Linked DNA regions of Arabidopsis thaliana. The protein of the gene in region 1 binds, or shares a complex with, the protein of each later gene. Each region holds a gene or a part of one and is shown on either strand. Other genes may lie near its edges.

What was found. The genes of interacting proteins can lie anywhere in the genome.
Region 2: RPL16A (region 1) and AT2G19730 share a complex: the UniProt entries of both Arabidopsis thaliana proteins name them as parts of the large ribosomal subunit.

Annotation. Positions count from the first base shown.
Region 1 is NC_003071.7:17,790,093-17,793,662, reverse strand, and holds RPL16A (ribosomal protein large subunit 16A), read right to left. Parts: upstream 1,972-3,570; 5' UTR 1,870-1,971; coding exon 1,867-1,869; intron 1,789-1,866; coding exon 1,681-1,788; intron 1,595-1,680; coding exon 1,552-1,594; intron 1,206-1,551; coding exon 1,010-1,205; intron 916-1,009; coding exon 717-915; 3' UTR 521-716; downstream 1-520. Other genes in the region: AT2G42750 (DNAJ heat shock N-terminal domain-containing protein), read right to left, coding at 11-259; AT2G42730 (F-box/FBD/LRR protein), read left to right, coding at 2,445-3,362, 3,517-3,570. UniProt on the Arabidopsis thaliana protein: Component of the ribosome, a large ribonucleoprotein complex responsible for the synthesis of proteins in the cell.
Region 2 is NC_003071.7:8,509,713-8,513,791, reverse strand, and holds AT2G19730 (Ribosomal L28e protein family), read right to left. Parts: upstream 2,307-4,079; 5' UTR 2,232-2,306; exon of another isoform or gene 2,201-2,231; intron 2,054-2,200; exon of another isoform or gene 2,050-2,053; 5' UTR 2,041-2,049; coding exon 1,893-2,040; intron 1,423-1,892; coding exon 1,259-1,422; intron 917-1,258; coding exon 797-916; 3' UTR 501-796; downstream 1-500. Other genes in the region: AT2G19740 (Ribosomal protein L31e family protein), read right to left, coding at 136-215; rps15ab (ribosomal protein S15A B), read left to right, coding at 2,534-2,663, 3,239-3,399, 3,471-3,569; AT2G19710 (Regulator of Vps4 activity in the MVB pathway protein), read right to left, coding at 3,975-4,079. UniProt on the Arabidopsis thaliana protein: Component of the large ribosomal subunit. Essential in leaf polarity establishment, probably having a role for translation in leaf dorsoventral patterning to specify leaf adaxial identity.

The DNA of each region.
Region 1 (3,570 bases):
TGGTTCTTACGAGTCCGAGAACGGCATAGTAATCATCGGCGACATCACCGGTGGAAAGAGAAGAAGCATCCTCAGTTGCAACTCTCAATCTTCCGATTGAATCGGTTCGCCTCTTTCCTGCGTACCGAGGTAAGTACCAAGATGAAGAAGCACCGGTGGTCTTCGCCGAGAACCGCGGCGACGCACCTGATCTGGAGCTAAGAGCTGAGTTCTGGAACTTCAAAAGATCCGTACAAACAGGGGAAAGTATCTGCGCCATTGAAGAACTTCAAAAGATCCGACCCGATCCTGTTCCGATCGCTCAAATTAATTTCAATTTCATTCGTAGGAGAAGATGAACATTTATTTGAATTAATATTTTTATTATTTTTGTGAAGAATTTAAGGCGTACGAGGGAGAAATGCTGACGTGGCAAGATAAGAACCAGGGAAGCTTATTTGGAGGAATCCGAGATGAATCTAGCGGCGATCGGCGATCGGCGAAAGCGTGCTTAGCCGTCCGTGGCACGTGTCAGCTAGTGGATTTATATGTCTCCACACGCTTCAACTACCCGCCAAAATTTTCTTATCTTGCTTATCCTCACACGAAATTAGATACTTAAATAACTGAAACTAAAGCCAATAATGCATATAAAGTACAAAGATTAAGATTCAGACAAGTAAACAAAACTGAGACAGGGTTTTCTAAAACAGAAGAAAGAGTTAGGAGGAATTGTTTTAGCCAGTGATGTTCTGGGACTTGTTGAGAATGACTCCTTCGTATTTCACCTGGAACCATTTCATTGCATCGTCTTTAGTTACTCTGTGTTGGATACCAACACGAGCCTTGCACCTTCTGCGACGTGCTACACGGTAGCCAGGACGTTCTAGGACCACATAGAAGTCCATACCATAGATTCCAGTTGATGGATCGTACCTTTATAAGAAGTGAAACAAAGATCAATGAGTATCACCAAGAATGTGGTGAACCCCAAGTGTTATGACAGGATGATTTAAGGGGATTGACTTACTTGATACCCAAATCAATGTGTTCTTGAATACCAAAACCGAAGCAACCAGTGTCACTGAAGTTTCTTCTGAGAAGTTCGTATTCCTTGACTTTCAATCCACTTTCAAGTAGTTGCATTGCCTTCTCACCTCTGACGGTTACATAGCATGCGATCTTCTCGTTACGTCTGATACCAAAAGAACGAACAGTGTATCTAGCTGCAAAAGCCACACATAACAAGGGTTCTTGAAAATTGCAATGGAAGAAGCTAAACCAAATCATGTCTCTCAGAGCAAACCAAAAGCGATGCATATAAAACAGAGTGCACAACGCAACTATATCAGAAGCGGGGAAACGAACAGCTCCTAATTTGGACTGGTAGGCTTATCAAGTTATCACAAACCACCAGATAAGGGACTTACTGGATTCCAAAATCTCAAATTCATCATCAAACCATGCACCCATTCATAGACTTAACTAAACTATGTTTCCCAAATTCTTCTAGATTACTAAATCTATCAACCAGACTATTTGTAAGCTTTCAAATATGAGAAAAAATCTAACCTTTGGAGAAAACAGGAGTCTGACCACTCAATTGTTCCAAAACCTACCAAGTAACCACGAATCAATCGATTATAACCAAGTGACAACAAGAGTGAAAACCACAGAGAATGGGTAAAAAACAGGAGGAACCTTGGAGGCTCTGGTGAGACGATCTCCACTCTCACCAACGGAGATGTTGAGAACCAGCTTCTGCACTTTAATGTCCCTCATTGGGTTCGATAGCTTCTTCTCCGACGCCTGAATTTCAAAAGTAAGTAAATCTTCAAATCCCTATTCACATTACAAAATCATACAAATCCAAGAACTGAAACTTACCATTTGGAATTTGGGTTGCGAAATTATCACCGGCCGACGGGAAAGGAGAGACGGAGAACGAAACGACTATTTAAATGTTAGAAGCCCTAATCCTAAGTGTAAAGAACGGCGACTATTTAAATGACAGTTTTACCCTTAAAGGCCCACGCTTCTCTCACGTGACTTTCTTTCCCAAACAGACTACTTACCTTTTCTTCATCAGTCTTTCTGCTTTACTCTTTCCTCATGTGGAAATGGAGGAAATTGCTTATAATAAGTTGTTTCAGTTTCTTCGTCTCTTCTCTTAAACTTTCCAAAACCCTAGTATTCGATGTTTTCACTTTTGATCTCACGATTAAATTGGTATTGAAAGTGGAGAGCTTTCACGACTCTGTAGCAAGTAGCACTTTAGCAAGGTATGTTGTCTGCTCTGTTTCGTCTTTTTCATTTCTATGGTAATCAATGTGATTGAAGAGATACATGATAACTTTTGTATTAGACTTTGCATTGTATGAAAAAGAACAGACCTTTGAACTCATCAACTCTGTCTAGTTACTGTTTCTGAATCCAATTGCTGTGGTTTTAAGGTTTTGGTATCAATGAATGCTAAAGATGTAATCAGCCGTCTACCAGATGAGGTTCTTGGGCGTATTCTGTCTCTTATCTCCACAAAAGAAGCTGTTTCAACCTCAGTACTCTCTAAGAGGTGGAAGAACATGTTTGTTTTGGTTTCCAATCTTGATATTGATGATCGTCAATCTGTGCCTAAGACTAAGCAAAACCGGATTGAGATTCACAGAAATTACATGGCTTTCGTTGACAAATTGCTAGATACGCAACGTGGTTCTTCTATAAAGAAGCTCACTCTAAAGAGTCATGTTGGTGTTCGAGGTGGCACTGATTCATCTCGCATTCAAAGTTGGATTTGCAACGTTCTTGACCATGGTGTTATGGATCTTGATGTGTTCATTACTTTAAAAGGAAAATCTCCACCAGTGCCTGCAATGATCTTTAAGAGCAAGACATTGGTTAAGCTGAGAGTAGGACGTGGTTTTACAATCAAGCTTTCTCAAGATGTTTCTCTTCCTTTGCTTAGGACATTATGTCTTGACTCAGTTAATTTTGTTGGAGGTCATAATGTTGTTGGAACTCTTATATCTCGCTGTCCTGTTCTCGAAGAACTGGTTGTTGAGGAGCGGCGATGTGTAGATTGGACTTGTTCCGTGTCTTCTCCATCTCTAAAGAGACTACACATCCGATTTGATCGCAAGTTTACTAGTATTTCATTAGATGCTCCTAATCTTATCTACTACAAACACTCTGGTTATGTTTTGGGTAAGTATCCTAATGTTAAGTTGGATTCCCTCATCGAAGCTAGACTCAATCTTCGGATGGATGAAACAAGAATGGTGGGAGTAAGAAATGGATCTCTCGGTTCCATTCCCGCTGATATGAGAAATCTCATCAATGGAATCAGAAATGTTAGAATCCTTCACTTATCTAGCCACACTCTAGAGGTCAGCCTCCTCTATATATTGTTCTTTCCTTATAAATAACATTCTTCTTTTTTTTTGCTTATCGAGAATGAGATTCACTTGGGGCTTTTGATGATTTATTTCAACTTTTGTGTTATTGAGTGACAACAGACTAACACATTGTGTTTTGTTGAAGCTGCTTTATTTCTCATGTAAAGAAATGCCATTGTTCGACAGCCTTGTTAGTCTA
Region 2 (4,079 bases), 9.3 Mb from region 1:
CAAGAAACCTAATTCGAATCAATACAAGTTGCAATTTTAGTCTAATCATTAGACTCTATGCCCAGAACGAACTTAAGCAAAACGGAAACGAGATATTGCAAATAAGGTCAAAAGTATTGAAGCTTTAGGTTTTACCAGCTATGGAGGCGCCTGTGGAGATTGATAGTGTACTCCCTGGTCACGACCTCTTCCTTTCTTCCCTTTCCTTTCTCCATTTTGCTTCGATCTCCCTGGTCTTCGAAATGGTGTTGGAGACGGCCACAGCAAGAGAACAGAATTAATTCATGTCTAAGAAACCCTAATATAAACCTTTCCGTATGCTATAAGTTGGGCCGTCTATGGGCCTGATGGGCTTTTGGATAAGTATAGAGCATGCTAAGATGGAATTCTCAAGTTGGTTTTTGATGGGATCTAATGAAAATGTCAACATTATAGTCCACAAGAACATCACATTTGATGCAACAAATCTAAACATTTATGTTTGCTATTTTGAGTCAATTTAGGCTTTCAAAAGTCATAATATATAAGGACTTGGTTGTTGATTACATTTGATTTGCTAATAAAATCTAGAATAGAGATTTTAAGAAAGTTCTTGATTCGATAAAAGGATCTAACAAAATGTAACACAAGCACACCAGAAACATCAAGCATAACAAGATAAACTTCTAACTCCTTTATAATAAGGATAATGAAAAAGGAGAATAGCATTATGGTTCAACTTCAAAGCAACAACTTAAATAAAACCTGTTCAACAAAATCTTTTACTTCAAAAAAAACAGATTGTGAAAGAAGAAGCTTAAGCTTGTCTGTTTCTTTGCTTGGCACCGGACTTGGCAACCCTGAGACCTTTGCTGATGGCGCTGAGTCTAGCAAGTGCAGCTTTCTTCAAGTCCGGCCTGTAGTAGTTGTCCACCACCTAAACATTTACACAATCATTTGGTTTAGATTGTATTCACGTATGAAACCAATAAACAGCAACATTAAGCAGATCAATGAAAATAGCCAAGTGTAAAATTAATATTTCATCAATATGCCACAAAAAGGAGCCTTATATGAAGTTAAATTTTAATCTTTGCACAGCTATGCATCATATCGTTTTACCATAACATATTAACTCTCCTCTCACAGGTAGAGGGAAGAACATAAAAACCAATTGTAGATCATAGCCGTGAAAATAACACACAAAACTAGATATAGAGACCTATAAGCACACCATAGACATATAAAAAACACTAAAGTAATAAAAATTGAGTAATACCTGGTTAGCAACAGCCTTTGACATCCTGGGGAATTCCTTCTTGAGGATAGACTTGTTGACAGAGAGCTTAGGCTTGTTCTGCTTCTTGGTCTTGGTGGTGGCGAGCACAACAGCTTGGTCCTTGTCAGCGGCCTGGATGGTCACAGTCTTTTTGTTTGCAAGACCTGAAACCACATCAAAAGATTCAAACTTTAGCCTAATTCAAGACAATAACAAAACCTAATACATAGTATGAAGTGTCTGCTCAACTCAGACTACCATTTTTGTCTTTAAATTAGAAGATACATACACAATTGTAATACAGATTCAAATGGTCAAATGTAAAGAAACTACATTTCACGGTCAACTTGCAACAGATAAGAAAATAAGCTTATACTCGAGAATCAATAAAATAGTGCATAAAGACGATCTCAAACAGCCAAGTTTCAACCACAATCATCTAATAGTCGAGAATCCACAATCTTTCATAGAACCAAAAGCACTTAACACATCAACATTTCTTAACAACTTTAGTTCCCAATCTATTCTACTAAATCAACCAACCAGAGATGTAAAGTAATCATTTGTTCTCAAATGGCCAAGATATCATTTCGTTCAGAAACAAAGAATCTCGTAAACAAGAGTACAAATTTACCAGAGTGCTTGTAAGAGTGAACGTTGGTGAGGTTGTTAGTCTCCTTGCTGAATTGAACCTTAGAGTTTCCTCTACCGAACTGCTTCACCAAGAAACAGTTGTTGTTCTTCACGATCTCCCAGATCAATTGTCCTGGAACTGTCGCCATTTCAAATACCTACCTTCACCACACCAAAAATGATACTACCAATCAACAACACATACATTAACAGATCGATTCCTAAAGGCTACTACTATAGAGCTCGCTGAATCAAAATATCTACACAAAATCAGATCATCTAAGCTACGAAAATCAAGACATACTGAACTGAGAACAATTGAGAGTAATACTAAGCTCACCGTGAAATTTCGCAGATAGAGATCGAGAGATTTTAATGGTGGCGCCGGAGCTTTGTTAGAAGACGAATGGAGCTATTTATATATGACCTCTGAAAAAAATAAAACCCTAGCTCATGTAAGTGAACGTGAAAAGTCTAAAATACCCCTAATGTTTTTCGAAATGTCGAAATACCCACAATTCTGAGAAACGTTGGAATAAACCCATTTCCTGCTGCTCTGTTGAACTTTAGGGGTTATCGATTCTTTTTGATTCGTTGTCATTCGATTATAGAATTTGTATTAGAAATCGGAATTTTCGATCAATGGGGAGGAGAATATTGAACGATGCATTGAGAACGATCGTGAATGCTGAGAAGCGAGGGAAAGCTTCGGTGGAGTTGAAACCTGTCTCTACCGTAATGTCTTCGTTTCTCAAAATCATGAAAGAGAAAGGTGAGATTTTTCACTTCTTCTTTCTTCTGGTCTAATTGGGTCTTAATTCATTTCCCTAATTTTTCATCTACTTGTTTAGATTTATCAGTTTCGTCGACATTGGTTTTAGTCACTTTTGCTTGTAGTGAAGTATGATTAATGATCCATAGTCTCTATTGTTTTGTTGGTCCTTGAGCTGATCCTAACACGTATAGCTCAAGAATTTCCATGTGTGATCACTCGATGTAAGAGATTGGTTACAACATGGTCCCAATGATTAAGCTTTGTTCTTGGTTAACTATGAAGTTGCAGAAGATTGAAAAGTTTCTGTTTTTTGATTCTTATGGATAAGTTACATCTTGATCTATGGTTGGAGAAAGTCATATCTGCTCCTGTTTAGTTTATGGTCTAACTTAAGTTTGTTTCGATCTTCGTCTGTGTTTTGTATGTTTTTAGTTAGGAATTTGAAGTAGTTCTTTTCAAAGTTGATAGTTTGTGACTGAAGTATAAAGATACCATTTCTATGCTCAAACCGCAGAATCAGCTAGTTTTTTGTCTATTACTTTACAAAATGTATGTTGATGTATTATGTATAGGGTACATCAAGAACTTCCAAGTCCATGATCCACACAGAGTTGGAAGAATAACTGTTGATCTACAAGGAAGGGTTAATGATTGCAAAGCTCTCACTTATAGGCAGGACGTTAAGGCAAATGAGATCGGGCAATACACAGAACGCACACTTCCAACGCGCCAGGTTCGGTTCTACACTAGTTCTGAATATGCAACTAATCGTAACTTAAACCTTCTTTAATTTGTTATATGCAGTGGGGTTATATAGTGATTACAACTCCCGATGGCATTTTGGATCATGAAGAAGCTATTAAACGGAATGTGGGTGGTCAGGTTCTTGGTTTCTTTCATTGAACTGCAATACGGAAAGAAACTCTGATGGAGGGACTTTGATATGTCAAACCCTGCCATAACATGTCATTTGTCTGGCTTTTTCGACATTGTTTGTTTGTTTGTTTGTTTTCTTGCACTGCAGTTTCAGCAAGATGGAGAATTAGAGAACAAAATTTATTTCTATTATGACAACATTTCGAATGGTATTATAAAATCTTTCTCTTCGCAAATAGTTATTTTCTATTCTGTTTATCCACACAAAAAAAAAAAAGACAAGGAAAACCAATCAAGACCAAGCAGAATCACACCACTACTTCAATCTGTATAACGTGTAAGAATATCAAATTCAGTCAGAGTAAAGAATGAGGGGAACTGTTTTCCGTGTGAAAGAATATATATATGAACAGAAGGACAAGATGAGCAGATTCAGCGTCGACTGGGAGCACGAAGCGCTCCGAGCCTTGCAAAGATATCGTCATATTCTGGGAGGTTGGGGTGAACATGACTAGCTCTCTCCCTCTCCCTGGATGG